Kluyveromyces lactis: one gene and its partner. The protein of the gene in region 1 purifies or fractionates together with the protein of each later gene. This does not show direct contact. Links are inferred from orthologs where the notes say so. Each region holds a gene or a part of one and is shown on either strand. Other genes may lie near its edges.

Region 1 (4,618 bases):
CAAAGACATCGTCTTCTCTTGAATCTCTTTCTTCAAATCACTAATTTCCCTAATTAATTTATCTTTTTCGGAGTCTAAAGCACGCTCGTCATTCTTTACAACATCCAACTTATTCTTAAGTTCATTGACTGTAATCTCCAGCTTTTCTTTATCATGGGACAACTCTCTAAACTTATCTTCTGATAAATCGGAAGCATTTTTCGTCTTTTCTAATTCAAGGCGTAAATTATCAGCTTCTTTAGATAATTCGAGGTTTTCAGTTTCCAAAGAGTCTTTAATTGACAGAGTTTCATCCCATTTTTGTTGAATTTGAATTTGCTTTGTCTTGGTAGCCTCAAGAAGTTCTTGCGACTGTTGTAGTTCACTAGTTTCTTTTAACAATAATGCTTTAACTTTTTCTAACTCTTGTTCCACCAGCCTCTTTGCATCTACCATAACCGTCGTACTTTTTTCGCTCTCTGCTAGCTTGTTTTCGAGTTGTTTGACTTGTTCAGCTATTTTTTTAGTTTTCAAGATGGTATTCGAAGAGTCTAAAAGCGGTAGCAATTTCATGTATAAATTGTACCATGGATTTTCCATGAGCCTGTCATAGGTTTCAAAAGTTACCTTTAAGATCCTTGCAGCCTGTAATTTCTTAAGATGACTTCTGATTTCTTTCCTGACTGAATTAGCAGATATTATAGCATTTAACCTAGTAACAGCTGCACTCAAACGCTGTTCTTTCAGCAGTTCAAGGTTTGCTAATACACCAGCTTTGAAAAACAGCTTTGTGTTCCCGACCTTGTAAATTGTTGGATCCAGGTGAAGTGATGATAACAGTATTTCACAGTTCTTTTTGGAGTTGTTAGTGAATCTACACTCATCTGAAAGAATTTTGTATCTTTGGAAAAATTCCTTGAAGAATATTCTGTTGGGATAACCATCCCTAGCAATTCTTATTCCTTCAAGAACACCGTTACACCGTAATTGATCTAGAATAAGCTTCTTATCAAAATCACCTGCCTTTTTCTTGTTGTTTGGAATTATACAACGAACGAAATGGGGATCCGTATTGCCAAGCTGTTCAATGAGTGTATGGAGCTGTTCCCTATGTTTGTTAGATGATGTCCTAAAAGAACTGCCTCTAATGCGATCTGCGAAAAATTGTGATACCAGAGGGTTCGCACAATCATTGAGTACCTGCAATAAATTTTCATTTAAAGGATCTTTATTCTTTGATAGCCAATCAGTAACGTTGTATTCAACATCACCTGCATAATGCTTTAGTATAAAGCAGTTATCCAGCTTAGACCTTTTGAATTTAGTGGATTTATTATCCCAAGATGAAAGTAATTTCGAATAAAAAGAGGCATCTGAAGATTTTGGTAAGATCGATTCTTCTTCTAAAATCGGTAGTATACCTGGAATGCTGCTGTTTTTCTGTTCAATTAAATCAATTGTGGTTTGTAAGTCTTTGCCATAATCGATGAAATTCCATTGGATGTCTTCCTTTTGATATTCATTTTGTTCCAATACAAACATATGATGATTGAAAAACTGTTGTAATTTCTCATTTGTGTAATTGATACATAGTTGTTCGAAAGAATTATCTTTGAAAATTTCGAACCCAGCGATATCCAATAATCCAATAAAATATTCAGTCATCGATCCATGCTCTAAACTCTTGTTAATTTGATTTACAATATATTCGAAAAGCTTCTCATATAATGATCGGGATAAAGAGTTAAGAATTGACCTTGCCTGTGAGGCATTTTTGGCTTGTGATACCCATTCTTTACCAGCCTTTGATTTAGGTTTTAGAACAGCTGACTTGAAATCGTCTTCCTGAACTCCTAGAAGTTTACACAAGGGTTTGATATCATTTTTAATGCTGGCTTGTTCTGACCTCTCTGATACAAACTCAACGTTACCGATGTGCAATATGATAGAAATACATTTGAGAATGGATTGAATGTCATCCTTCGTAAATCCAACAGTTTCAAACGCGGATACAAGTTCCTGATAATTTTGACCATCGTCAATACCTGGAATTGATGGGTTGGAATGTCGTAGATACTGGTAATCAACGATGGAATTCGATTCTAATCCAATAGCCCGTAACTCTTGCTTCGACATGCCAGATAATATTTGATAAAAAATATGGTAGTTTCTTTCCCTGGCATGAGCTTGTATAACTCTTGATTTCTCCAATAGATACCATTCGATATGTGCTCCATTGATCTTACCATATTCGTCGAAATCGATCTTAATGAATTTACCAAAACGTGAGGAATTGTTATTGCGCACCGTTTGGGCGTTACCGAAGGATTCTAAAATTGGGTTTGATTGTAAGATTTTCCTTTCAAACGATTCGTTCGTCTGATTTAATAAAATCTTATCATCCGTCGTAATGGATGCCAAATATTGTAAGATTTTTTTTGTATTCTCTGTTTTACCAGCACCTGACTCACCGGTAACCAAGATCGATTGATCCTGCTTTTGATGCAAAAGATTCTGGTAAGCCTGTTCAGCGACAGCGAAGATATGCGGTTTATTATCCTCCTTCGGAGATCCATGGTATAATTTGATATAGCTGTTACTATATATCTTGATATTACTGTATGGGTTAATGGCCACTAAAAATAATCCTGAATAAGTGTAAATCAAATCATCTTGGTACCTGTTCTGTAAATTGAAAAGAACAGAAGCTTCATTAAGATGCGTCAATTCAGACAAGTCGTCCACTTTATCAAAGGTAGAAGGATTCACCGAGGCTACATCGTCTTCGGAAAACTCTGTTTCCTTACCATTCACACTAACCACAGCAACCGCTTGTTCCTGGCCTTGCTTATTCTTAACCACTTTCCGCTCTACCAATTGACCTTGAACAAAAACCTCTCGTTCATCAGATACCCATACTTTTTCCCTCTGTTGACTCATGTTTTCCTAACAGCCTCGTACCCAAATTGAGTTTACCTGTAATTTGGTCAATGAGGCTACGTTATTGGAACCAGAAGTCAATATCAATGCTCTTCAATTGAATTTATTCATGCAATTGAGACCGCTAGTGTTTGTTATTGATTCCAGTTGTTCTTGATGTTTATGTTTTTTTTTTGTTTACAAAACAATTAGAGATCAGAAAAGGGAATTGATACGTAAAGTAATTTGAGGTCACGTGGATTTTGTTTCATGAAGCCCATACACATGCTAAAAAGCTTATATGTGTAGTTGAACAGTATATACGTTGCTGTTTTTCATGCTTTTAGGTACTGGCCCTTGTTAATCCTGGGACAATGAATATAGTAGATGTGGCACGTCTGTGGCACGTCTGGGTCACTTAGTTATTCACTTTCCCGGTGTATTTTTCAACACCCATAATACGAATTAGGTTAAAATAGGTGAAAAATGTCAACTACTGAGAATTTATTCCTAGTCGTTATTGCACCTAGCCGTTCGAAAATAAGGTGTAGTCATCAATATAGTTTGTTGTTCGTTAGCATCATTGTATGTTTTTAGTGTTGTTGTGTGTTTCGCTTAGAGTTCCGTGTAGACGCAGGATTTTTCAGTTCTAAACGTCAATCAAGTATATGCTGGACATATATAAGATTGAAACTAGCTTGTGACAGTTAAAACGGTTCAACCTTTCAAGATGATGTTCGAAAGTACTGGTAACGATCGTGTTTCCTATGCGCACTTGAGCAGACGTGATATTATGGCACGTTATTTCAATCTTTCTGCACCAGTCGGCCATGCAGGTGTGCCGCTTCCGAAGCATGTGATTGCAAAACACGACGACAGCAATGTTGCAGATGATAATTACACCTCTGCTGTTAATAATACCACAAAGAATGATGAATTTATTCTTAGTGAAAAGATATTGAATTTACCCATTGAAATTAAGGTTAAAATTACCAATAATTTGAGCCAATATGACTTGGTGAATTTAGCATCGGTATCGAAATCTTTTTATGACGCGGCGATGTTTTCTTTGTACGAAAATATCGTGGTAGATACGTCATACTCTATATTGAACGATTCGTTGAGAACGGACAAGAATCAACGATGTACTTATATCAAGACGAAGTACAATTTAAAGAAGTTTATGAAATCGTTATCACAGGATGAAATACAAACTGCGTTCCCCTTAGGGATATTGGTAAAAAGTCTCAAAATATATTCTTTGCCCGATGGGGTCTCGAATATGGAAATTGTGAATTTCGTTCATAGATCCATCAATTCGTTGACGAGACTATCATGTTTGTATTGGGAAAGCGGGTCACGGAAATTGCCCTTGGACACATTACAATATTTACCCAATAAAAAAGAACTTACCTCGTTAGCGATAAATCTTGATTTATCGAAATGTACCGAGGCAGATATACACTTCCCGCAACTTGAGCGGCTCTCAGTGGTTCCATTCAATAATTCGGATACGTTGTGCAAATTTATGCAGCAGATTTCGATAGAGACCATTGCAGATCGGATAAAAGTGTTACAATTGAAAAGACAATTACCTTCAATGAAACAGATAACAAGAAATAATTTGAATTTGGGTCAATCACTTATAGTAACGAAATACATGGTAGAAAATAACCTGGCAAGACCAGACTCTGTGGAAACTGATAAGAGTATAAATCAA
Region 2 (4,142 bases), on another chromosome or scaffold:
CGAGAGGTCTGGTGCGCCAGAACCTGACTCATTTGTGTGTACCACTACTACCACTGAAGTGACGGAACGTTGAATTATTAGTTTAGTCTTGTTTATCTATTGTACATATTAAATAATTTACTATTTCATAAACTAAGAATAACTTTCAACACTAAAAATCTTTGTTCTGGAACATATGATGATTTTAAATCCTTTTCAAATTATCAGATGATCAACTTAAGCAATTAGCCTCGCACGAATATTCAATAATTGCCGTATATAACTTTCAATTGGAGTTGTTTAATTTTAATGTTGAATTTGAATTTCGTTCGTATATAATCTCGGCTTATTAACTTATTAACTTTCATACTAAACTACCCACTTCATTTATATGAAGTAGAATATTCCAACAACATAAGATAGAAGATTGGAACTTGAATAATGACTGTGCGATCGAAGATAAATAAAAACAACACACAAAACAAAATTATAAAAACAAAGAAGATTTGGAGTAAAATCGTCCCTATATGAAGTTTTAATAATTGTTAGTTTTTTGTTTCATAAGCTTCAATTTTTGGGTTCATCTATATGAATCGATTCATCGTTTATTTTAATTGTATTCTTTTTATAAGAGTGTCAAGTAAAAAAAAGTGAAGGAGATTAGAAACACTTCAAGTGAACGATGGATGGACCAGATTCGTCGTATTCTTGCTTTGAGATCCACATTTGTTGGAAAGTGGTCAAAGAGGCCAAAATAGAACCACCGATCCAGACAGAGTACTTTCTTTCTGGAGGAGCGATGATCTTGACCTTCATAGAAGAAGGAGCCAAGGCGGTAATTTCCTTTTGCATTCTTTCAGCAATACCTGGGAACATGGTGGTACCACCGGACATGACGATGTTACCGTACAATTCCTTTCTGACATCAACATCACACTTCATGATGGAGTTGTAAGTAGTTTGGTCGATACCAGCAGCTTCCAAACTTAGAACAGATGGATGGAACAAAGCTTCTGGAGCTCTGAATCTTTCGTTACCGATAGTGATAACTTGGCCATCTGGTAATTCGTAAGACTTTTCAACAGCGGATGATTGAGAAGCAGTTTGCATTTCTTGTTCGAAGTCCAAAGCGACGTAACATAGCTTTTCCTTGATGTCACGGACGATTTCTCTTTCAGCGGTAGTAGAGAAAGAGTAACCACGTTCAGCCAAGATCTTCATCAAGTAGTCGGTGATATCTCTACCAGCCAAGTCGATTCTCAAGATAGCGTGAGGCAAGGAGAAACCGGCGTAGATTGGAACAACGTGGGTAACACCGTCACCAGAATCCAACACAATACCAGTGGTTCTACCAGAAGAGTACAAGGACAAAACAGCTTGGATAGAGACGTAGAAGGCTGGAACGTTGAAAGTTTCGAACAAGATTTGAGTCATCTTTTCTCTGTTGTTCTTTGGGTTCATTGGAGCTTCGGTTAACAAAACTGGGTGTTCTTCTGGAGCAACTCTCAATTCGTTGTAGAAGGTGTGATGCCAGATCTTTTCCATATCATCCCAGTTGGTAACGATACCGTGTTCAATTGGGTAACGTAGAGTCAAGATACCTCTCTTGGATTGAGCTTCGTCACCAACGTAAGAGTCTTTTTGACCCATACCGACCATGATACCTTGGTGTCTTGGTCTACCGACGATGGATGGGAAGACGGCTCTTGGAGCGTCGTCACCGGCGAAACCGGCTTTACACATACCAGAACCGTTGTCAATAACTAAAGCAGCGACCTCTGTTTAGAATAAAAAACCATCACGAGTAGCAGAATGCAGATTAAGGAACTAAACCGTACGTTTGGGTAGGTTAGGTGTTCCAAAAAAGTGAATTCAGCCATCCCAAATAGAAAAATAATTGTTAGTAACATAAGATAAGAAAACAAAAGTAACAGGTGCATTTTGGGTGATCATGAGGTTATGTGATTGTTCAACGCTAAAAGTCCTGTCGCGGACAAAATAGGGGCTAACCTTAGCAACCAGAAAAATAAATCAAAAAAAAAATAGGGACAACCGAACCACGAGGGGCAATGCCTGCACCACTTAAAGGTGTACTTTGATTCCTTCTTGGACTGGAAGGAATAACATTGTAATATAAAATCACATCATCACGTGACATCAAATTATCTTTTTTTGCCTATATTTTCCAAATTTCTTTCCAATTCGCCTCCTAAATCAGGTAAAAAAAACCCAAAATCCAAAGTTAGTCACCCAAAACCCAAGAAAAACACGTTATAGTAAGAAGGTAGAACCAGGAAATGAAAGATCCAATTCTCGAACAAAGCTTCTAATCCAAACCCCTATATATAAAAAAAACCCATTCAATTAGCGTTGTACATCTAATTCTAAATCTGATTTAGGGAGTTAGAGAATGGACAATGGCAGCGCAAAGCGCTGCCATTATCCTATCTTTTCCCTCCCAACATTTAACCGGAAACCTAACAAAGTAATAAAACATATCCAAACTTTTTAACCACCCAATTAACCCACCGTAATCAAATATACGTTTCCACACATACCAGAATCCATATTGTTATACTATAGCGCGTGAAGATGTTGTACAATTCCTTTTGCAATCAACAAAAAAACCGTTATTCTGAAACAACCTTTCTTCTCTTTGGATCGTAAAAGACAGTAAAGAAGGAGGAAACAAATCAAGATATTTCTTATTTTTCTTGTAAATTAAATCAAATTTCAAACTCTCTCATACAATAAATCGCACTAGCTGTCCAGAGAAACAGAAGAGAAAATTTCGAAAAAACAAATTAAAAAAAAAAAAAGAATTCTGATGAAAAATAGGAGACGATTGTCATTGTCCACGAGGCGGAGCAGTTGCGGTAATGGTTTTCTAGTGGTTACGTGGGATTCACTGTACAGCTGGAGGGGCGGACTTGCAATTGAAGGCTTTGTGAAGGCTGGAAGTTTGATATAACGTTGGTAGGCTGTCGGTAGAATAGTTATATCGTAGTATATTGTATTCATGAGGCAGTTATCGATCTCTGGATGTTAGTACATCTGGTTTATTTTACAATTCATTATGACCGCATATCGTCTTAATCCTCCGTATATTAATGTGTATATTCAAAATCACGTGACATATATGTACGTTACCCGGATTATAATGACTCGGCAGTTGAAATCTATACGTGAATATATGTTACGTGGATCATCATCAACTATCATTGAAGCAACGGGAAGGTATTAATAGATCAGGTTAATATTCGACAGTACATTTATGTACATCTATCTCTATCTCTGAAGAATCTCACCCACCCATTGTAGAATGGCTGGAAAATCGTCCAAGAAGATTGCTGCAAAGAACGCAGCCATCTTAAAGCAGTTGCACGTACTAGTCGTCGCTATACTATCTTTAACGTTATTGAGGAAATGGTTCAGTAATGGGCTGATTTCAACCCTAAAACCTATTCTTTTCAATGTGCCGATGTTGTTATGTTTATATATTCTCGAACGTACCGGTAGACCAAAATATGAAGTCAGTAACGCTGCGCATGGAAAATATAAACTAGTTAATGAAGGGTTCGATTTGGAATCTGGTGGACTCACTGAATACATGAAAGATATCGTGTATGTTTCCTTGTTCTGTAACCTGGGAACAGTTTTCTTCAACACGATGAAATGGTGGTTCTTGGTATTAGTGTGCCCTGCGTTTATTTTCTACAAGTTGTACTACTTGAAGCAACAGTATTTCCCCGGTGCCTCAGCTTCAAAGGCGGATCTCGCAGAGACAACGCCCGCTGAACCTTCCAAATCAAAGAGACAATTGAAGAGGGAAAAACGTGGTGATAAATCTCAGGTAAGATACCGATAGATTAATGTTAGAGAAGGGGTTGTATATACTATATCCATCATATATCTACGAATACATTCTCTTATATATAGAGAAAGTAAGAAAGAAAGGAATAATGATTGTAATTGAAATTAAGTCTAACTATAATAGGCTCTAAATAGACAACCACCGGCTCTTTCGTTAAAGCTATGTGGGGCAAATGGTGCTTAATGTTGTTTGTGATGTATACGGGATATTAATTCTTCGAAATATGGTAATTATCAGACAGTTCTTAAATTCAGTTCCTGATTTTTCAGACACTTAGTGTATAGTAACA

What was found.
Region 2: the proteins of MYO1 (region 1) and ACT1 purify together in Saccharomyces cerevisiae (affinity purification with mass spectrometry; 3 studies listed by BioGRID, with this or other methods). This does not show direct contact. The link is inferred for Kluyveromyces lactis from reciprocal best matches to the Saccharomyces cerevisiae genes MYO1 and ACT1.

The regions. Positions count from the first base shown.
Region 1 is NC_006041.1:1,021,600-1,026,217, forward strand, and holds the start of MYO1 (myosin 1), read right to left. Parts: upstream 2,920-4,618; coding exon 1-2,919. Other genes in the region: KLLA0_E11617g (F-box protein), read left to right, coding at 3,629-4,618. UniProt on the Saccharomyces cerevisiae protein: Required for cell division.
Region 2 is NC_006040.1:460,131-464,272, reverse strand, and holds ACT1 (actin), read right to left. Parts: upstream 2,548-4,142; coding exon 2,538-2,547; intron 1,758-2,537; coding exon 640-1,757; downstream 1-639. Other genes in the region: KLLA0_D05379g (uncharacterized protein), read left to right, coding at 1-73; SND2 (Snd2p), read left to right, coding at 3,302-3,847. UniProt on the Saccharomyces cerevisiae protein: Actins are highly conserved proteins that are involved in various types of cell motility and are ubiquitously expressed in all eukaryotic cells.